4 linked regions of the Drosophila melanogaster genome follow. The gene in region 1 interacts genetically with each later gene. Each region holds a gene or a part of one and is shown on either strand. Other genes may lie near its edges.

Region 1 (5,244 bases):
TAATAAAGGCCTTTGATTATGTTGCCCCGGGATCCCTTGGGAACGGGCAAACCTTGTTGTCTACCGCTTGTCTGGTCTTTCATAATTTACAGCCTCCCAAAAAAGCGGAATGGAAGCACCGACGCAGTTCTCTGTCCTTTGAAGATTTTGCAAGTTTAATTTATGTGGGTTTGTTTTTTCTTTTCTACTAGCAGTCTCAGCGCACATTAAAAATTCATTATCAGCATAAAGCTGGAAGGTTTCGGGAAGATGGGGTGGCTCAGCTTACCACGACAATTTTGTGGAAAACCAGGAACTACACGTGCAATTATTATCGCTGTCTGACCCAGTTGCTTCAAGGAGAAACGATGGCTTACCTGAATCGATAATTCCTGGCTGCACGTTAGTTTGTCATCCAATGAATCCTATTCGGAGTCCCTCACTTAGGATTCTGGAAACGAGAAACCATAGACAAAACGTGAGAGTTTTGCGGAACTAGTCGCGACTTCTTCTTATCCTTAACAAAGCACTCGCGACAACAACAATCGATTCTGTTCGTTTGCAGTTATTTCTTCCGCAAATGCAAATTGAATTCGCTATTGCGCTCTAATTTCGGCACATACACACGCATACGCACTCTCGCCACACATACACACGAACACAGAGAAACTGGTCAGCAGGCGAATGACGTCATTGCCAAGGATGCTGCGCGCATCTCAAGAACGCTGCCAGAAGTAGCACTTCATTTAAGGAACTGTGTTCTTGCTCTTAGTTGGAATCACTCAAGTCCGTTTCCCCAGAATTAAAAGTTCGCAAGGAGCCCGCCAGATATTTTATTAAAGTCAATTTAATTGCGACTGGCGCCAAGCACTCACATCTGGCTGTGATACTCGGAACTGGACTTACTGATTCAAGCGCGGACCTTCACCGTTCCTCGAAAAATTCAAAATTAACTGAAAGTATCCGCACATCCGCGCATTAACCCAACGGTTTATTGAAGTTTGGTTTTACCAAGAACTGATTCGAAGAGAGGACAGCACGCGAGACCCCGCAAAACACCAAAAACAAAAAGGCGGTAAGGTATTTTGATGTTGTCGTGCGGTCCAACTAAATGAACTACGTATATGTCAAAAGTAAAATCGACATATACGATACTTAGCTTGCACTAATTTGACCAATATTATAAATTGAAAAGTGAGTTGGAAACATCCTTTGCTACATCTGAATATGCAAGTGAGTGAAATCGGCAAAATAATTTAATCTCATTTCTATTCCGGAAGTATTCGATTCCAATCGACACCGCTTGGCTTGAAGCCGCGAATATTTCGATCTTAAGTGCAGTCATGAACCAGAGGAAGCTGATGCGATACTTTGCTAAAAACTTAGATATTCTGTTATAGAGGAATACAATGGCCGACCTGAAAAAATGTTACAGGTGTGTGCTTTAAACAAAATCTAGATGCGATCCATATGTAGAATTTTAATCAGTGTTGACATATCGATGTATGTGTTTTCAGAAAGCGCTGCCGCGGCCGTCGTGTGAACTACGACATATCGATGCATCGATATGTCCGAATGGAATCGGAAGGCATCGATTACCATCGAACTCGAAAAGTACTCGGTCGGCAAAACGGCAAGCGGCGAAAAACAGTGAAAAAAAAAGGGGGAAAGCGAAAAGACGTGCTCAGGAACTGCGGTCGAAGTCTTTGTGAGTGTGTGTGGGTGCAGCTGTCGCCAAACAAATGAAAAGCGCCTGGCTTGCATTAAAATCGGTAAAAAAAAAATCGGAAATGTGCACAGGCATCCAGCGAATGCAGCGACCTATTCGCCGGCGTCGGGACGCCGCCAGCTGAAACTGCACGGTCGAATTTGGCTGCATTTGCACAAACGCTGTGCTGACGCGGGGAAATGGGAGCATAAAAACCGAAACTTGTGTGCGAAATATGCGAATATGCGAAACCTTGGCTCCCAGTGCGATCTATGTGTGTGTGTGTGTGAGCCGTGCTGTGTGTCGGTGTTGCAGAACGAACCAAGTGGGAAGCAAAGCGAGAGAAGACGAAGAGGAAGAAAAAGAGCCGCTTGTACCTGCTCCGAAAACTGAAACATCCGAAATCGGAGGTGAAAAGGTGCTCTGATAGTGTTTAGCTGCAGTTTTAGGAGATGCAAACTGGTTAATTGCTACGTAACGCTATTTTTCCGCTAAATTACTTCACCACCCCTTCTTCTACGTTCAGCGGTGACTTTGGCTTAAGAAAATGAAAATGTGTGGCCATATTTTTTCCTCTCCGTCTTTCTTTCGCCTTCGCGCTCTCCCTTTTGAAACTCTCGCCGCGCGCTGTTCTCGCCGCCTCCGTTTTGTGCCGCACTTCCGAGATAAAGAACGCAAACGCGAGATAAATGCGAAATATTGTATCTGAGGAGCGAGGCAACATACTCATTGTTCTCATCGATTTGTTTTGTCCGACAGAAAAGTGCATTGCATCCGAAAAGCGAATATCCAGTATCCAATATCCATTATCCGAAAGCAGCTAATTACCGACAGACAAGGAATTATTTAGAGATCGCCGCCAAAATGTCGGAGGAAGTAGATCGCAACGATCCGGAGCTCAAGTACCTCTCGGTGGAGCGCAACCAGTTCAACGATCCGGCCACGCAGGCCGAGTGGACACAGAAGCGTCTGGTGTGGGTGCCACACGAGAACCAGGTGAGTCTACTTAAATGTAATGCCTACCCGTAGAGCATGTTCCTACTCTGGACGCAACCTCTGCTACGGGATTTCTACCCCGGAAGCCACGCCCGTTTCAGTGAACTACCTGAATAGACCCTATAGATAGCCTAAATGCAACAGGAACTGCTACAACTGAGATAAAAATACAGTCGATACATCATAACGCTGTTTATTTCGTGAAGTCGGTAGTCATTAGCCCATTATGGTTTTTTTTTTTTTTTTTGTAAAATTACCAAATGTACTTAATTTTCGTTTAATTTTCATATTCTTTTGCGTAAAAAATTGCTACATGTAACTATCTAATATCTAAGTATTACTTCGCAGTGAATGGTTATTATAGAACATAGTGTGTTCGACACATCGTGATAATATTTTAGCCCTAGCTGTACGTGCTCTAATCAATTTTCACAGTGTTTGTCCCCGGCTTTGCGCTTCTTATCAGCCAACACCTTTTGAGCCATCCGACTCACTCATCGATTGGTCATGAATCACGCTTCACCGATCCGTTTATTTTTAATTTTGAACAGGCCCAACTTCTTTGAATTTTCATTACATTCGCACCGCGGTGATAAACTTGGGTAAACATCCGTTGGCGTCGATGCTGAATCACTCTTTTCTCCTGCGCTGATGCTGAATTAATCTCACCGTAGTAGTGTGACACATTTAACTTCTTACTTGGTCAAATCCGCGACCATTTGGTACCAATTTGCATGCAGACGCTCTTCGACTCAGTGACTCACCTCCGAGGGAGAGTGGAAGCAGGAATGGCCCCAGTTCGCAGTTCCCACTAAGAGCGGGCCAAAACAAGTTTTCAATGTGGCTAGGTATTTGTGGTGTGGACTTGCTTGTGTGGGGCTTTCTGGCCTCAACCACACAGCCAGGCCAGCAAAGAAACGAGCCGAGATTGCGCCAAAGAATCGCTTCCCTCGGAGTTCGGGCGCCCGCTCTTGGCCTATAAATTCAAATTCAAAACTTTGGTCGACTGCTAGCGATCAAGCCTTATGATAACAAGCCGATTGTTTTGCTAATTTCGGTGTGGCTTGTTATTCTCTTCTTCAGTTTAAAGCGATTTCATTCAGGTGTCATTCAACTGCATTCCAACGACTTAATTTCAAGACCATAAAAAACGTAAACAGATAAAATTATCAACCGCTCCTTTCTCCCCTGGCTGCCCGTAATTGCTGTATTTGCCAGAGATAATTCCGTACATAGAATGGTAGCACTTTTGGGTGACTTCGTATAATAAAAGCAACATCGAAAACAAAAGCCAACAACTTCACATTTTTGTGTAATTACGCGATCACTTTAACAGACATTTACTTTACAATGGAATCTCACAAAAAGACAACGGCAGAGATAAAACCCAGAAATAAAACGAAAATAACGAAACGCTCGATTGTCATGAGTGGTCCGTCAGATTGTCTAAAGGCTAAAATTTCTTTGCGACTGACGAACGGCACATGAGACGGGTGGAAATAGTTAAGAAATTTGCATATAGCGCAACTGTTGCTCCGCTGGAATGTCCACAGATACAGCTACGTCTTAACGGGAACGGACCCGTCCAAAAGGGTATTCGCCAATTGTGTCAACACTCGTTTCGTTTCCAGCAACTGTTCCAGCTTTTCGAAATGTAAGCGAATTCGCTGAATAATGGCGGCGTCAGTCCACGTACGTGATATCCAAATTCAGTAATTTACTGGTGGATACACAAGGAGACCTTTTGTTCGTGGCTACATTTCGTTTCATGTTGTTTGCTGAACAGCGATGATTCATCGAATCAATTGCACAGAGAGCAAGTTTATTGGTGGGGATTAGATATATTGTACATTGAAGGTTTCGGGTTATAGGTTAATGTATATTTGCGATCTTGAAACTATTTAAATGCTTTTAATAGTTCATAGCTTACTTTTCCATTGTCCAACGATGAAATTGAAAAGTTAATACTTTGGAATTCGTGAACACGGTGGAAATGTGTTTACACCTCTTTTCTTTTTTCCCTCTTCTTCAGCGCTAATGCTCTTCTTATCCGCTGTCTTTGTTCAGGCATTCCTGAACGCCTCACTCCCGAGACCAATCTGAAAACTTTTTATATTGTTAGCCAAATTGAAGTCGGCTTAACCTTCGTCATGTCCAGAGAATCGATTCGATTGTAACGAACGGCGATCATTAGGGGGTCTCTGCTCACCCACACATGCTGCGTTTCATACTTCCACGCTTGTATGTGTGCTGCTCGTATTTATAACCAAAGAAACCACTTTGGACTTTGTTTGCGACCACTCCCACTCCGCTTCCGCGCCCCCGCCCTTTGGCGTGCCGCGATTGGTTCTGGCGGAGATGCCCGTGCCGCGCGAGTGTGTGTTTTCTTTTCGGTTACGGCAATGACAAACGTAGCCAGCTTTCGACTCTCGTCCGTCCGGTTTACGGTCAACGAACCTGCGCCTCGTATCACGTATGTGTAATATACGCTTCTTACCCTCTCCATCTCCACTTCCATCCTCAACAATGCATATACGTTGATCGATTAAGCGAAGGAATAA
Region 2 (5,152 bases), on another chromosome or scaffold:
AAAATCTCAAAAAACAAAAACACTGCTCTGATTCACCAAGCGTTTCATTCTTTATAAATGATATTAAGAATATACAAATTGCTTATTTACTTTTGAATGTAAACAAAAAGGTAAGGTTCATTCTTCGGAGAGTGTATGTATGTACATAAATCATGGAAAATAAAATCTTGCGAATGTAAATATATAGAAAATTAATTATAACAATTAGGTATTTGCATACGAGGTTACTAGAGCATGGGAAAAGCGCTCTTTCAAATGGAATTTCTCGGCAAATTAAACTACATATTCGGCAAAGAATGAAACAATTAAATTTGGCCTGCCAGTGCGTTGGTTCTGAATTTCTAAATTTAAAGGCATTTTCCGGTCAAAAACTAATTCCCGTAACCAAGATTTATGTGCAATTAGCAAGATGCAAGATGTCGGAGATGCGGAGTCAGTCTGTCAGCGATTGGGAATCGAATTTCGGTGCCCAGCAAGCAAAAGTCAGACTCAGATGCAGGAGCAGGCAAACTGCGATGACAGTCGGCGCTAAAAATTGATACTAAAAGGTGTTTGAATTGTTGTGATTTCATCATCGCCACTTACGGCATGACAGAAAAGCCAAAAACAAAACGCTCAAGCAGCGGGTAATAGCAGCACACACACACACCATACACAAAAGCAAACAACTTGGGAAAGTGGAATTTTCAAAAATGCTGCGATGAATTTTCGTTGCCGCTGTTGATTTCGATTTGGCCAAAGCGGCAAAATGGCAACAACAACATAATTATGAGCAACATTATTGACAACAACAACGGCAATAATAATACATAATAACCAACGACGACGATGACGACGACGACGACAACATTATCGTCACCTATAGACAATATAATTTTCAACTTAATTTATACAACGTCGCCAAATTCGATCTGCCAGTTTTTACAAATTGAACGCTTCACATTCAACACACAGAGATAGAGAGTGGTACTGCATCTGCGTTGCAGAATCTCTTCACACCTTATTAATTCTAATTAATTATTTGCCCAGGCAGCACAAAGGAACTGTTCGGCTTTTATAACCAAATGCGCATTGCAATTGGCCATTGTTAGTACGCAAATGCCTTAACGTTTGCTTCGCTTATGACTGCTTACAGCAGATACCGAGTGGGGATGGGTAATTAAATTTAAGTATTTATATGCATACTCGACGCTGCGGAATTGCTGGGCAAATTGTATTCTCGGAATTTGGAATGCAAGCGAACCAGGACGACAACTGGTAGCTGAGAGCTGGATGCTGAATGCTGAATGCTAGGAGCGTGGAGATGAGAACAACGTACCGTTCCGGCTCGCACGAATGGAGGGCGGCGGGCATTAGCCATGTCCCCATGCCCTATACCGTCTACTGTCCAATGGAAGAAACCGGCGTGGTGCTGGCTATCTATTCTACCTTTTTGGCCCAAAACGATGCAAACGATGCAGCCGATGCAACGCGACGCCTGCAACTGACAAACGGCGGCATCAGCCACTGTGCGTTCGTTTTAGTTCGCTTTTCGTTTTCGTTTTGGTTTTTTTTCTTTTTGGTTTGGTTACAAATTTTAATGCGAAAATGGCAAATTTATTATAAAGTCGCCCCCCGTTTTGTTCACTCGCTTGTCAATTTGATTGCCGCGCTGTCGCTTTGAACATGAGATATGGAAGGTGTTTGCCAGCGGTGTATTACTTTTTGATTTGTTTTGGCCAGGCCCGTTTGGCTTGCGCTGAATTGTGCTAGCTGGCTAGTTGGCTGGTTAGGTGGTTAGCTGGTTAGCTGCTTAGCTGCCTGCTTGGCTTGGTCAGTTGAACAAATCACAAATCTGTCTGTACAAATCGCACGTATCTGTGCGATGGCTACTGCCACTTCTACTTCTACTTCGACTTCTACTATTGCTATTGCTGCTGCTGCTGCTGCTGATGCTGCCATTCAGGTGACAATTAATTGAGTGGAGCAGTCGCTTTTGGGCCGCCATCTCGTGCACTCACCGGCGCCTTCGTTCCACATCCATGCTGCGCTGCTTGGTCACAGTTTCTCGTCCAGCTGGCATGCAAATGCAAGATAACAAGCTGATACTGCTGCTCCAGCTGCTGCTTCCTGTTGGTCAACTGCTGCTCCTGTGCTGCAACTGAAAGCGAAGCAAGGGTTTAACAGAGTTCTCTTCGGGGTACACATATTTATATTGTACATTTACCTGCCAGGAGTTGTTGGACGTCTGTCTATGCTGGGAATGCTAATAGTAATGAGGAGAGGAGGCACGCGTCAAGCGCTAGTTGTTTGCTGTTTGCTGGCGATGAGGTCACGAGTGTTTCGTTGGATTTCTGGCTAACTGCTGCCACTGAACGCCAATCGAATACGGATGGGGATGGGAATGGGAATGGGTATGGGTATGGGGATTGGGCACTTGGCGCTGGCTTCTTTTGGTGGAGTGCCGCCAACGCCACATGCGGACGCAGCCGAGCACCCGGGCGTTCCCAGGTGCGTTTCCCACACGGCAGGCAGGTGTGCTATCGATTCCCGGAAAATGCTATCAATCTAGTTTACTTCCTGTGCAAATGGGATCGTAATGACCAGGATGATCACGTTGACCACGATGGATTGTTGGGTAAACAAGGGAACGGGGATTATTGTCCGCAGTCCGCTTGGCATGCAACAGTTGTGTCAACACTTGTGGCCAAAAACCTGGCCAAAATGTGTCGAATGCGGCGGATTGGTGGTGTTGAAGGTGGGCTTTTGTTTCTCGGCCTTTTGAGTTGTTGGTTTTTGTGTGCCCCAATCAAGTAGCTTTTTCCTTCTTCTATTTTTTTGTTAATTCCAACGATACCTCTGTGCACACACACTTACACGAGCGCACGCACACCAGTGCACTGCGAACGGCGAACGTAGCAAGCGCTACAACAACAATAACAAGGCGCTTCACAGACACACACACACGCGCGCACACACCGATGTGCGTCACACCGACGTACTGTCCGTCGGCAGCGGGGGAAACGCACGGGGGGGCGGGACGGGACGGGGGCGGCTGACCGCCCAAATTGCGAATGTCCAGTTTCGGCCGCGGCCAAATAGATCAATTTGGTTTCAATTAGACGCTGCGCGTTGCACTTATTTTATTTCGGCTCGGTGCTGGTAGAGATGGCAATTGTGTTTACATATCGAAGTTGAAGTATCGAAGTCACTAGGCGCCGATGAAAATACCAGAATATACCAGGGCCAACAGGTGGCGCTCCAAATGGCGATGGTGCTGCGGCAATATCGGTTGTCTGCGTCATCGATGGGCCGCTTGTTATTCGATAGACTCAGAAACTAGCTTCATGAATAGTTATGTAAATCGGTTGCTAACAAAATAAAAAGCAGTTATTTATGAATAAAGTGATACAGCAAAATATGAATTGTACTACGCATTCTTTGCCCACATTGAAAATATACTAATACGAAAATGCATGTTTAGACAAGGTCTTCAAATGCCAAGTAATATATAATATAATCTTGGTGTGCTCATTAATTTAAATATTTTTAAAAATAACTATAAATTGAACACATACGTGTTAGAGTATCATTAACCGAATCTTCGATAGTTCGCCGCGCCGGCATTCGATTAATCGATACTATTGCTGGTGGCAGGCCCAGCACTATTAACCGCAGCCAACTTCACGCGCCTTGTTCTTTTTTCCGGTTGACTTTAACGAGAAAGGTTGTGCACGAATTCTTTTCAAGTGAATTATCTTTTTTTTTATGTTTTGAATGGGTGAAATTCAATGAAAGAGCCCACGCCAAGTGGCAAATGACACAATGGGCCGGCCGTAAACACGAAAGGACAGCTTTTTTCGGGTTAAAACTTCGGCTGGCAATTTTTTGTTGTGCCCGTGCATGTGTGTGTGCGAGGGAGAGAGAGAGAGAGAAAGAGTGTGTCTGTGAGAGAATCGTGGAAATCGCGACAACGTGTTTTTGGCAGCATTGTAATAGATTCCCCATTTGTTTTTCCCGTTCTGCCCGCAGATGCCAGGCGTCACAGTGAAGGATATTGACCAGCACGCGGTTACCAAGGCGGTCGCCGTCTTCTTGAAGAAGTGAGTACTGAACATCAAGTATATTTCCACCACATAACCTCACAATCCATTTGTTTATCCCCCCCCAAAAAAAAAAAAAAAAACACGAAAAAAACCAAATAGGACTGGCAAGTTGAAGGTGCCCGACCAGATGGACATCGTCAAGACCGCCAAATTCAAGGAGCTGGCGCCCTACGATCCCGACTGGTTCTATGTGCGTTGCGCCTCGATCCTGCGCCATCTGTACCACCGCAGTCCCGCTGGAGTCGGTTCGATCACCAAGATCTACGGCGGACGCAAGCGCAACGGTGTCCACCCCTCGCACTTCTGCCGCGCCGCCGACGGTGCTGCCCGCAAGGCTCTGCAGGCCTTGGAGCACGCCCGTTTGGTCGAGAAGCACCCGGACGGTGGTCGCAAACTGAGCTCCATTGGACAGCGTGATCTGGACCGTATTGCTAACCAGATCGTGTTCAAGCAGCGCGATGCCGCCAAGCAGACCGGGCCCATTGTTATTTCCAAGTAATCACACGGCGCCCCTTCGAATTCTAAAAAACGCATTTTTAGACTTCTATTGTAAGCGCTTTTTGTTTGCACGAGAGAGATGAGAAAATAAAACCAACCACAATTTGTAAAAGTCTACGAAACATGCGTTCTTCGAATGCTAGAAACATTTTTTATGCGGTCTGTAAACAGGGGAATAGAATAGCTCCTCTTGGCAATGTAAAAAAGTGGTAGATTTATCAGGATGCTGCTCATATTAGTAATATGCATGTGCGAAGAACAATGTGGACAACAGCTACATTTGGCGTAATTAACTAGCCAATTTATACTTTTACCGAGCCTTCACATTGTTAATGGCTTTCCTTCTATTGCTAAACTATCAGTATCAGTTTGGTATTCTGCCCTTAGAAGGTGCATAGTTTCATTAACAATCCATGTGCTAAGTGGTTGCTTGCCTTGCAGAAATAAACATTTTATATCTATACACACTGCTCATGTGCGACAGCATAGTTCATTGAAATTTAGTCATGCGGACTTGGTAAGGTTAATCTTTAGATTTAAATCATTCCCTTTTTGGTGAAATGGTGGAG
Region 3 (5,206 bases), on another chromosome or scaffold:
CCCCCCCTTCTCCCTCTCTCTCTCTCTCTCTCTCTCTCTCTCCGGGGTTCTATGTATCCCGTTTGTTTGTGTATTGCAACATGCGTGGGCGTTATACTCCAACTGTATCGGTGTGAGTGAGCAAGTTTGGCTGTGTGAGGTCAGTGTTGCGTGAACTTTTCGCATTGGAATGATGATGTACTAACTTTTGGCGCCCACTGTTCAATATTCCCTTTATTGCGCCTATTACGACTATCTATCTCTGCCCATTTTCACTTGCGCTAATTACGCCGTTGCATGACCACTGTACTCGGGACTGATTGGAATGCTAATTGGAATTTGCAATTTTATTTATTCCGATTGGTCATACGCCATTACTTCTAGGGCTGGGCAGGTGATAGAGATAGAGATATATATTCAGTTCAAATTATATATTAGTCATATTTAGCGATGTCTAAAATAATTACGTGAATGCCTTTCTATATGCATTCCATTGTGGCTGTCTAATATACATATAATTTTGACTTATTGAACAACTGCCAAAACATCTGATCCAATTTAAACCGTACGAAAAAATACATTTCCCTGAAGAAAGCCTAAATCCATGCACCGTTCAACAATTTGTTTACGTTGACTTTATCGTATTAAAAAAAGGCTATCGACCATTTAATCTTATCATCAAACAGCTGGAATATGCATTTACGTTTATCTGGGAACGCGGTGCAGAAATGTGTACTTTATGTTTATCTGGAACCGTTGATATATGTAGATACATTCATATGTTTCGCATTCTTGAAATTATTACTTTCCTCGTTTTGTTGCCCAGCGGACACATTTTCTTCGCATATTAAAGGTTATTTTTTCCTTGCCATCTGTTTGTTTGTTTATGTTGCTTTTGCGGGTATTTTTAGCACAAATCCCTCGCCTTTTGATCTACTTGCCATTCGGGTTCGCCAGGCAAATTCGCTGGGAGAGCTGGTGCATGAGCACGGTTCCGACTTGATGCTAATTGCTCCGCAAATATGCAAGAAATGTAAAAGAGAAAAATCGGAGAAAATCACGAACTGTGCAACTGCAACTGCAATTGGAACTGCAAGCGCTGGATGCGAAAGAAACAATAAACATTTTGATGTCTACATTTTTGCAAACAACTGATTCGAGAGCGGCAACAAATTGCCTGGAAACGGAGACGAAAAGTAAACATGCAAGAGAAAAACTATTTGCCATACAAGTCGTTGGGAAAAGGAGTGTGGCGGGGGGCACGGGGTTTGTGCGACCAATAATGGGGGAATTAATTAACATGGCCAGCGGCGGCAATTAGACCAAATAAACGAAACAGAAAGGAAATCGATCCGAGTCACAAGCCTCCAATGTTGCTGGATGTGTGTTTTTACAAAGCTGTGATCGTTTTGCCTCTTGAATCTCCGATATCACAAAGTGCACTGTGCGTAATGATTTTAATGAATTTAAGGTATAAATATGTTAGGCTTATGTAGAAAGTACAATTTGATATATATAATATAATAAATTATATATGTAAGTCTTACAATTTTTCTTTAGTTTTTACTTGGGATCGCTAATAATGCGATTAAATAAACTAAATTTCTTTTAATTAAGTTTTCCCGTGTAAATATAGGCGACCGCAGAGTGGGTTACTTTTAGCTAGGCCAAAAGCGAGACCGCAGCAGCTACTTGAATGGCCAAAATCGGCCTAATGAGTTGGGCAACACATGTTTCGATTTGACTTCCATAGCGCGACGCTGCGAAAAGGAGAACCGTCAGTCGGTGGCCAAATGTGCAACAGGTGGGCGATCGCATGCGAGCGACTGGTCTTATCGCATGCAATAAATGCACGATAAAGAGAAGAAGCCGGCTCACAAAAACACGAAGAAAATCTGAGACTGAGCTTCGCAAGCGGCGCTCTCTTTCTCTGAAACTGAAACTCGGAGGTTGATTTTGTGTTTTTTTTTCTTTCGTTTCATTTTGTGTTTTTGGTTTTATTTATCGTGACTCAGTCGCGGCGGCAACTTCGTGCATCGCTTTTCAGTTGAAAACTTGCAGGCAAGGCGCGCGGTCGCGTTTCGATTCAAAAATCGAATAGTAAATAGAGAGAATAGTAAAAGAAAAAATAAAAATAAAATCGCTTGCCACGCATGCGCAGCTCATCATCGCGTGTGTGCGAATTGGCCAATGAGTGAATCGATTGCAATTGGCTTTTTGCAATACATAATAACAATAAATTATGACGGTATGCAAAGTGGCCTTTTTTTGATAATCCGATCCGTTCAGCGAAAAGGCACAAAAGGCGAACTATCGTGATGTAATACCGCGCGAATGCGAATTGTTCATATCGCTATTGTAATAATTTAATAATTAATTATACAGGCGGGAGCTATTTTTCGGCTTCGCCTCAAGGAAGTGATTAATGCAAAACATTATCAAAGTGCGAAGAAAGTGAAACAAAAAGCGCTGAAAGATCAGCATGGCTTGAACATACGTATATACTCGAGATTTGGTGGCGCAATGACCTTTGTGTGTTTGTTGTTTGATTTTATTTGCCATGTTGGGGATGTTCGCTTAATTATGGGTTTTGGCCACATGTATCGGACATTAGTATGAATCTGTGTTTCGAGTGTGTCCATGATTAATTCAAAATTGCTCAAGGCATGCACGGTCAAAACTGAAGTTGATTTTAGGGCTTACTGGTCAAAGTCAGGCTTAGCTTTCAATTAATTATGTAGTTAGACTGCTACAATTAGTTTAAATCTGATTAGGATTTTCACAAGACCCCATATCGAATGCCGAATTAATTAATTTTAAATTAATAAAGGGCTGTTTTGGTTGCCCAATGATTTTTGCACAAGGTGGCCTTTAATTGATCTGATCACCTTTCTAAAATCATTCAAATTCAAGCTCTTCGCCAAACCATGTAATTTTTTCGTGTGCAACTAATGAAGACGATCGCGTCGCGGCTGCATATTTGATTGTTTGAAAGTCTCGAATGAAAGTGCCTTGGCAGCATGTTACTGTACTGTACACTTCCCTCCCCTCACCGATTACCACTTTTTTTTTTTTTTTTTTTTTTTTTTTTGTTTGCTTCGGGCCAACTTCAATCACAGAGTGCTAATTGTTTTCTCAGGTCTCCGTGGATTGAATTCCCCCAGTCGACAAGTTCCCATTACTGCAATTTCTTCGCTTATTCTGCCATTCTGCTCGCTCTCTAACTGCACTTTTTAATCCGATCCCAAATCGCAGATCGCAGATGCAACTGCGGCGGATCGAGCGCAGCTGATCTCGAAATTGCATGAATCACTCGGCCTAAAAGACCCTCTGCACAATCGATTTGCACGCTAATTTTGGATTTGGCGACGTGCAGACACTCGACTTTGACAAAATAAAAACTGGAAAAAAATAAAGACTGCAAATTCGAAAACATTGTAGGCTGGCGTGTCGGGGCATTTTCAATTTTCCAGCGCATTAGTCATCGCCGGTCTAATCGGCCAACAAAAAACTAAAGAAAAAAAAAAAAAACGAAGAAAAAAGCAAAACCGGAGCCTTAAACTGTAACTAGTTTTTTCCAACGCTCTCTGAGCTGAGAAACTAATCCGTCGTCCTGCATGAATCTCGCACTGAAATTTGTATCTCCAAGCTGGCTGGACCAAGTGAAAGTGGACAAAAAAAGAAATATATATGTAGAAATAGAGAAAAAAAGACTTCAAATACAACTGCAGCAGACGCGTGAAACAATTTCTCATATTTTTCTTGGCTCCCCGTACACTTCGGTTATGTGTTTTCCATCCACTTATTCAATTTGCCATTCACTGCACACAAGTGAAGACGAGCTTAACCCCCAAACTGGCCGAAGATGTGCCCCCAAACCCTCCAAAGCCCCCCAAAGACCACACTTAACACTCGAAAGCCAATGGCGCATTTCATTTCTCGGCTTTGGACTCTTTCGTTTTCTTGTAATGCGTGCCAGGCACGTTAAAGTAATTGTACAAATTAATTTATTAATTAAGCCACTGGCCGGAATGGTCAGAAACAATAGCGAATGCTAAATGCTCTTTGTCTCAAGTTAAATTGCCGATCATTTGTTTTTTTTGCTCCAAGTCAGAGCTGCCGTTTTGGTGAAAAGAGGAGGGTATTCATTCGAGAAACTTTCACTCTCCGCTTGCCAAAATTATGTATGCAACAGGTATTGCCGCAAGGTTTTAATAAAACCTATTCGAAACGCAGCTCCAAAATCCCCAACGCTCATTTCGAGGATATCCGGACCAGCAAACTTACGCATCTCGACCAGGTTCAAAAACCCGACCCATTGTCTTTAGCTCTTCTGTTTTATTTTGGCTTTTCTCCTCGCTTATTGCCCACTTTGTCTCAGTCTCAGTCAACGGTTTAGACTTTTTTGGCCTTTATTTTGATTCGACTTTGTGGCGTTGGCTTTTCATTTTGCATTTCGTCAGCGGCGACACAAACTCGTTGTGTCATACATAATTCTGTTATTGTTTTATTTAATTAGTTGCGTTGTCTTTCTTGTGCGGTGCGCTTCTTTGGGCGACCGAACGCTTTTCCCACTCCGAAAAATAGAAACACTCCATCGTGCGGAGAATTTCATTTGGCCGCCACCGTTCCTTTGTGGGTCATGATAAGCAATCACTTTCCACGTGCCCAATTCTGGCTCATTTGAATAGTTAATTGTAAGTTGACATTTACCTAGGAAAGTTCAAGAAAGTGAAGATGCAGTGAATGTTGGCAAATATTTGGGAATTCTATGATAAAGATTAAACTTAAAGCCAACTGATATCCTCTTCCCTTCTGCCCCTTTGTATATCCATAAGATGGGCAAATAATTGAATCCTGCTGCTTACAAACTAAATGGCAATATCAGTGCAGAAATATCTCTTTTCCCCGCCAACTTTCCCAACATTTGTCACCTGTCTTTAGGGGATAGACAATAGTTTTGCTTAGCTCACTGCGCAGTCGACGTCGACTGCGAGGTTCCCACGCCCAAATTATTTGCACAATATGTAGCCAGAGCTCTCCAGTGAATTCCAATTCAATTCAGGCGGCTGGTTCGTGTTTTCCCAACCCAGAGAAATAAGCCAACATGGAATGCCGAACCAGCATTTGGCCCAACCAGCATTTTTCGCTGTTTGTGGAGCACTCCAAGCCATTGTCGACTATTTCAGTGAGCCGCTGACAAACCGTTAATGTGGCGAATTGACTT
Region 4 (6,456 bases), 2.2 Mb from region 1:
TTAATATCCTGACTCACCGCAAACGTAAACTTTTACCATAAATACAATTGTCACATGATTCAAGCCTGACCTTAAGAATATAATAACTAAAGACATTCCTTGTTGATAAGCCTTAAGTTGCAATGAAAGATGTTCTACTTTTGCAGTTCGTCGTGCAGCCACAAAGCCAAAGTGCCATTCATTGGACGACAATGAGGCAGCATTGATTGATATCGGGACTCACCTCAATGCCATTGTAGTGCAAGCTCCTCTTGCGACGCAGCTCAATGTTGACGGATTTTGGATTGGTGGAGGAGGTGGAGGATGAGGAGCTGCTGGCCCCGATTAGCAGCCACAAGGTGGTCAAAACAATTAAAGCCAAACGACGGTGCCGATTAGATCCAATTGCTGCGACAGTCATAACGATGCGTTGATGATGACGGCTTCTCTGGGACTCCACAGGTGGCTATTGTAATGCTCCTAGTGCACTAATCGCTCTTTGTTGTGGCAACAACCACGCGACGATTGTTGCATAAATTGCAAATATATTATTCCTCAGGCTGCGCACCGATTTCGGTTTTTTTGCGTCATAATTTTCAGTGGTAGCGGAGTTACATTTTCCAGCGGCGAAAATCGAGGGTGGAAAACTTGGAGCCCGATTTCTCAAAAGGGGAGAGAGAGCCAAATGAAGGCGCGATCGTGTACGGGGCTCCAACTTTTACGGCTGTTAATTCAAATGTTTATGCACTAATTAATTGCCCAGGCATTGCATTACGAGTCATTTGTTGTGGGCCACTTTTTTTTTTTTTTTGCACTCTATCTTATTTATGTTTCGTTTTATTTTAGTGGCTGGTGTACTTTAGTTTGTTGCCTAAGTTCTTCCTTATGGATCGACACTCGAGATAAGACCAAATGGTGCTTGAAAAATGCTATTTTAGCTCCAGCTCCAGTTCTGAATTGCCAATATATTGTACATATAATGCCAGTCTTTTGTCATTTAAACGCACTTGATTTTATTTAAACGCCAGCGCACAATTAAGCAGCCAGCAACAAACACACACGGCATATAGATCATCGGCTCTGGAGCATAACGATCTTCTGGTTTTATGTCCATAGCCGAAAAGCACTTTATATGTATATTTTTTAACTAAAAATCGCTAAATCACGCCGAAATCTGACCGCTTTGGGGCATTTAAAATTTGAAACGATTTACTGGAGGTCAATGCGCGTTGGATCGATCGAAGGACTTTTTTCGTGGCGACGAAAGAGACGGCGACAGAAGCGCAGAAAGAGGCGGCGAGAGCGAGGCAACCACTCGCGACGGCGGCACTTTTGCGAATGAAATGTGAAAATCACGGAAAACTCGAGCTCGCGATCGTCGGCTGGCGCTCCATTCTCGTTCGGCTTTTTGGCCGGAGTTCGCAAAAGTACTTTTGGAGCGCAAACAGACTCATAAATATATGCTAATGAGCCAGAGCGCCGGAAGAAGAGAAGAAGAATGCGCCAACCGTTAAGACGCAGCAAAGGGCCACAAAAAAAAAACAGGAGAGTTTGGGGTACTAAACAAAAACAGAGGCAAAATTCTGAGGCGATGGCGATTGTTTTGTGGTCAAGTGCTTGAAAATGATGGAGCAGACGAAAACTTGACACTGATCATCAGCAAAAAAGGCTGCGGAGTGGCAAGAATTATGCTGCATTTCCGCCGCGGAGTTTCGATGTTCTGCGGCCTGTGGCAGCAGGAAATCTTAAATCAGCGAATGCAAATCAGGGGGGCACAAAAACAAACCGAACACAGCCAATTGAAGTGATCAACTTTTAATTGATGCAATCAATGGATGGTGCAACCGAGTGACGACTGGCAGTCAAAGCGATGGCTTTATTAAAATGGGGAACCTTAACCAACTATCAAATTTAATCCATGAAGTTTTCATTTTTAAAATATGTATAAAATGGATTGAGCTTGAATATCTAACAGAAATTTCAAACTGTAACGTTTTCTTTTTCGGCTAATTTTAAATTTAAATTTGAAATTTATGGGTAGCACTGTTTCAGCCCTGTCATCGATAAGCTGTGCACCAGTACTGGTCACACTAAAACTATCGAAAATTATCGCACGTATCGCATCTCTATTTTGCATGCTCTGCTCTAATAAATCGATTATTCTCGAGCGCCACTGCGGCTTAAAAGGGAACTAAGTCCAGAAATCGATATCGTCAAACTCATCGGCATTTATCATCGAGTTTACTTCCATCCCCATTCCCATTTTCAAATTCAAACGGCAGCTTGGCCTCGCTTCGTGTGCAAAAACTCGATCAGGTTTTCGGAGAATTGACAATCCCGCACTCGACTTGTAAATTATAAACTATTAGTAATCATATATTCGGACAACAAATTCAACAGCTAAACAAGCGTTCGGTCACAGAAACGCGATCAAAAGTCAACCAAACCAAGTGATAGCCAAGCGTCTGCCTATCTTCGTGTTAATTGTGTTTGTACAGATAGAAAAGAAGCAATCAAAATGGTGGGCACAACACTGAAAATGCGTGGCGATGAGGTGAGTTGATCCCTAGAACATTAAGATTACCGTGGCATCCGCGAAAAGGTCATGGTAAAGTCACAAACTAGTGGGCTCGTCATCAGCGAGACGCCATTGCAGCGTGGTCATGTAGAGAGGGGCAAAGAGGACGCTGCGATAGTGCGATGAGTGTGTGAAGGGAGGGGGAAAAGAAAGAGTGCCGTTTGTCCCGGGCGCTCATTGTTGTCGTTGTTGCAGTTGCCTTGCTCACATTTTGGCGCAATTTTCTACCGGCGGTGCTTGCACCGTTAATTAGTACTCTCCACACCTATTTTTCGCACCAAATCACAGAGGAGATAAATCGAGGATCAGTCTTGCGGTGCTTTTCCCAAAATGGCCGCCCTTGAAAAGGTGCATTTCATGATCAAGTCATTATTATGCAACAAACTGATCTTGCTTTAACAATTTAAAATAATTAAAATCAGTGCTCAATAATTAAAGATGTTAAAGAATAGGGTTCAAAGTGCAGATATGCATTCAACTATACTTGTTGCACTTCTCCATTTGTTTTCTAAAACTAATTAAACAATATTCGATAGAACGCTTCGGAGAACTTCAAGCAAGTGCAATTGAAGAAATTGACGGTTCCTTCCATGGAGGCAACAACAAAACGCGCGGCCTTGGGCGATTTGCAGAATCGCGGCATAAGTCGTCCCATCGCAGCGAAGGATGCGGCACAGAAAGAGTAAGTGTTTGAACCAGTATCAAGTATTCCATTCGCAATCACATGTGGTTACTCCACCGAGCAGCTCCAAGGATCTCAAGCTCACAGACGCCCTGCGCAATGCCAAAGCTCGGGTGGACAGCCACTGGAAGAAACAGCCACTGGGCAGCACCAATGGCAATGGCAATGGCGCCGTTCCGCCCAAGGTCAACGAGGGGGGCGTGTCGGCGTTTTTGCGTTCGAATTCGGTGCGCAATCGCGTTCCGACCAAGACCACTGTAGAACCCACTAAAGGTAAGCAAAAGAGCAATCATCTACCAATCATCATCATCTACCATTTCCAATTTTTGAATGGCTTGCATCATACTGACCCCAATTCATCTTGAATCCCCAAAGTTACAGTCAAGTCCAGTTCTTCCGAGAACGTGAACGAGCCCACCTTAAAGCGCGAGGACAGCAATCTGTCGAAGAAGTCGCTGACCAAACTGCGTGCCGCTTTGGCCAAACCCGTGATGGGAGTTTCAGGAATTCGACGGGAACCAGTAGCTGTTTCCCGCAAAGAGGCAGAGACCAAGAAGGAACTGCCAGAAACCAAGAAGGACTCACTGGAAGTGAAAAAGGATGCGACCAGGATGCCCCTTATTAGGGGCAACAGTGCAGTCACTACGACCACATCTACGATGCCCACCACCATGTCCCTTTCCAGCAAGCGCTTGGCTGGAATCGAGGACATTGATGCCAATGACAAGGAGAACCTGGTACTGGTCTCCGAATATGTAAACGACATCTACGACTACTTGTATCAGGTGGAGCTGGAGCAGCCCATTCACAAGGATCACCTGGCCGGACAGAAGGAGGTGTCCCACAAGATGCGAGCCGTGCTGATCGATTGGATCAACGAAGTCCACCTGCAGTTCCATCTGGCTGCAGAGACCTTCCAGCTGGCGGTGGCTATCATTGATCGCTACCTGCAGGTGGTCAAGGACACCAAACGCACGTACTTGCAATTGGTGGGAGTGACAGCACTCTTCATAGCCACCAAGTACGAGGAGCTGTTCCCGCCGGCAATCGGAGATTTCGTCTTCATCACGGACGACACCTACACTGCCCGGCAGATCCGACAGATGGAGCTGCAAATCTTCAAGGCCATCGACTGTAATCTGTCGCGTCCGCTGCCGATTCACTTCCTTCGACGCTACTCGAAGGCTGCTGGCGCCGAGGACGAGCACCATACGATGTCCAAGTACTTCATCGAGTTAGCTTCCGTGGACTACGAAATGGCCACTTACAGGCCATCGGAGGTGGGTTTCAATACACTATCCCCTTTTATTTAGCATAGGTATATGTAATATTTTTTGCGGCGCCTTTAGATTGCAGCTGCCTCACTGTTCCTGTCGCTGCACTTGCTCAATGGAAACCACCGGGCCGGTACAGGATTCAACGACCGTCACTGGACGCCCACTCTGACCTTCTACTCGCGATACTCGGCCGCGCACTTGCGTCCGATTACCCGGCTGATCGCGAAACTGGCCCGGGACGCTCCTCAGGCCAAGCTGAAGGCCATCTACAACAAGTACCAGGGCAGCAAGTTCCAGAAGATCGCGCTGCGAACGGAGCTGACCGGTGCGCTGATGGACTCGATTGTGGGCCAGAGCCAGAGGAAATAGTGCGGTCCAAGGCGGACTGGAAGACCCTGACTTACCTAGTTTAGTTTAATTTGTTTTCATTTTTAAATTTGTAGCGTATTTCATTTTCTGTTCGTTTCGTGTTCGTTAAAAAATGCGTATAGTTACCGTAGTCGCATTGCCAACTATCTTTACCTGCATCACCCATCCCTAAGATATCGTAATCTGCTGGAGTCCCTTGAGCAGTTTTCGGCTACTGCCAAGAGCTGGCTCCGGCATCTTTGCCCACGGAGCACAAGTTGCTCGCGAGCCGGCCGCTGGGAGTGAGTTCCTCCGGTAAGACTAGGAACCGAACTAAACTGGAGCCCGTCAGCTCCTTTCGCTGGGTCACCATCTCAGTGGGAGCGAGCGGCGGAGCGGTGGACACCGAGAGAGAGAGTGGGCAACGAGTTCATTTGCTGGCCGAACACATCGGCGTTGTCTCTCCAAGAATTATATTTTATAATTGTACCCGTGAAATCATTTCATCCCCTACCTACCTATCACTAATTGTATTTGTCGTTAGTTTTTAGTTTCGATGGGAATGAATAAATCCAAAAAATTGTGCAAAATTATTCCCATAAATCGCATAAAAAAGAGACGTAGACTATTTGTAATTTATATCATGTATTTCGCACATTCATACAAAAACAACTTATGCTAGTTATATTGTTTACCACTAAGCAACGATTAAAACACGTTTTAACTAACTGATGTTTCCCAAAAATGTCTCTGAACAATACATAGAAAATAAAGTTTTGTATAATTTTATAAACAATATTCGTGTTTACCTTGCATGCAATGTGCCGCCATGTGACTTCATTAGTTTTGAAATCTTTCCGACAGCTGATAAGTGTGAGAAATTTTCCACACCCCTAAAAAAACCAGACAGCCTGAGATGAACGCAGACCCTTTTCCAAGGACGGAGGTCCTTTTGTCCTGCATTCTTATCAATCCTGAATACACAATATATGTACAGTGATATACCTCTGTATACCCTGCACCTATGTACATACATACAAACATATGTATAGTCGGCGCCCCTGGGGAAGGTCACCTTCCCGATCGCAGGTCAGTTACTTCTCTTCCGCTTCTCCCTTTCCTTCTTCCCTTTTTAACGCTTTTCTCTCCCTTTTTTTGGTACCGTGTTCCATGGGCAACGGTAATTGCCGAGCACATTGCTCGCACATGGTTGTGCGTGTGTGTGTGTGGGTGTCTATCTCACTTTTCTCATGTACAGTAGTTACTCGATACAAAGCCAAATAAAGGCAACCTTATAGTTAAGTTCTTAAGAAACATATAAGCGAATTATCGAACGAATATTTCAAATAGTTTTCGTTAGTAGCAATTAATGCATTAGGTAAAAAGTTTGAGTTTCAACATTTGTTCGCCTTATAGAGCGCCCACTGTACACGGCCTGCTGACTTTGCTGTGCGCCTGTTCGAAATTTAAGTTTGACGGTTTTATGACTCTCATTAATTCTTGTTTACGGTCAAACAAATGTAGTAAAAAGAAAGTCATTTTTCTCGGCACCTCCGCTGCTCCTCCCTTTTGGCATATTTTATGTTGGCTGC

What was found.
Region 2: of zip (region 1) and Rok, changing one suppresses a phenotype caused by changing the other (phenotypic suppression), as found in Drosophila melanogaster (3 studies listed by BioGRID).
Region 3: of zip (region 1) and Csk, changing one suppresses a phenotype caused by changing the other (phenotypic suppression), as found in Drosophila melanogaster (one study listed by BioGRID).
Region 4: of zip (region 1) and CycB, changing one suppresses a phenotype caused by changing the other (phenotypic suppression), as found in Drosophila melanogaster (one study listed by BioGRID).

The regions. Positions count from the first base shown.
Region 1 is NT_033778.4:25,007,819-25,013,062, reverse strand, and holds the start of zip (zipper), read left to right. Parts: upstream 1-1,599; 5' UTR 1,600-1,721; coding exon 1,722-1,751; intron 1,752-1,854; exon of another isoform or gene 1,855-1,963; intron 1,964-2,446; coding exon 2,447-2,683; intron 2,684-5,244. UniProt on the Drosophila melanogaster protein: Nonmuscle myosin appears to be responsible for cellularization. Required for morphogenesis and cytokinesis. Necessary for auditory transduction: plays a role in Johnston's organ organization by acting in scolopidial apical attachment.
Region 2 is NC_004354.4:16,634,222-16,639,373, forward strand, and holds the start of Rok (Rho kinase), read right to left. Parts: upstream 3,194-5,152; 5' UTR 2,207-3,193; intron 2,141-2,206; 5' UTR 2,063-2,140; coding exon 2,001-2,062; intron 1,447-2,000; exon of another isoform or gene 1,354-1,446; coding exon of another isoform or gene 1,319-1,353; intron 1-1,318. Other genes in the region: RpS19a (ribosomal protein S19a), read left to right, coding at 4,012-4,082, 4,185-4,584.
Region 3 is NT_033777.3:11,643,809-11,649,014, reverse strand, and holds the start of Csk (C-terminal Src kinase), read left to right. Parts: upstream 1-2,038; 5' UTR 2,039-2,169; coding exon of another isoform or gene 2,170-2,227; 5' UTR 2,228-2,299; intron 2,300-5,206.
Region 4 is NT_033778.4:22,802,723-22,809,178, reverse strand, and holds CycB (cyclin B), read left to right. Parts: upstream 1-2,230; 5' UTR 2,231-2,497; coding exon 2,498-2,533; intron 2,534-2,679; exon of another isoform or gene 2,680-2,887; coding exon of another isoform or gene 2,888-2,905; exon of another isoform or gene 2,906-3,093; coding exon 3,094-3,239; intron 3,240-3,303; coding exon 3,304-3,512; intron 3,513-3,614; coding exon 3,615-4,519; intron 4,520-4,588; coding exon 4,589-4,885; 3' UTR 4,886-5,658; downstream 5,659-6,456. Other genes in the region: stl (stall), read right to left, coding at 224-400. UniProt on the Drosophila melanogaster protein: Essential for the control of the cell cycle at the G2/M (mitosis) transition.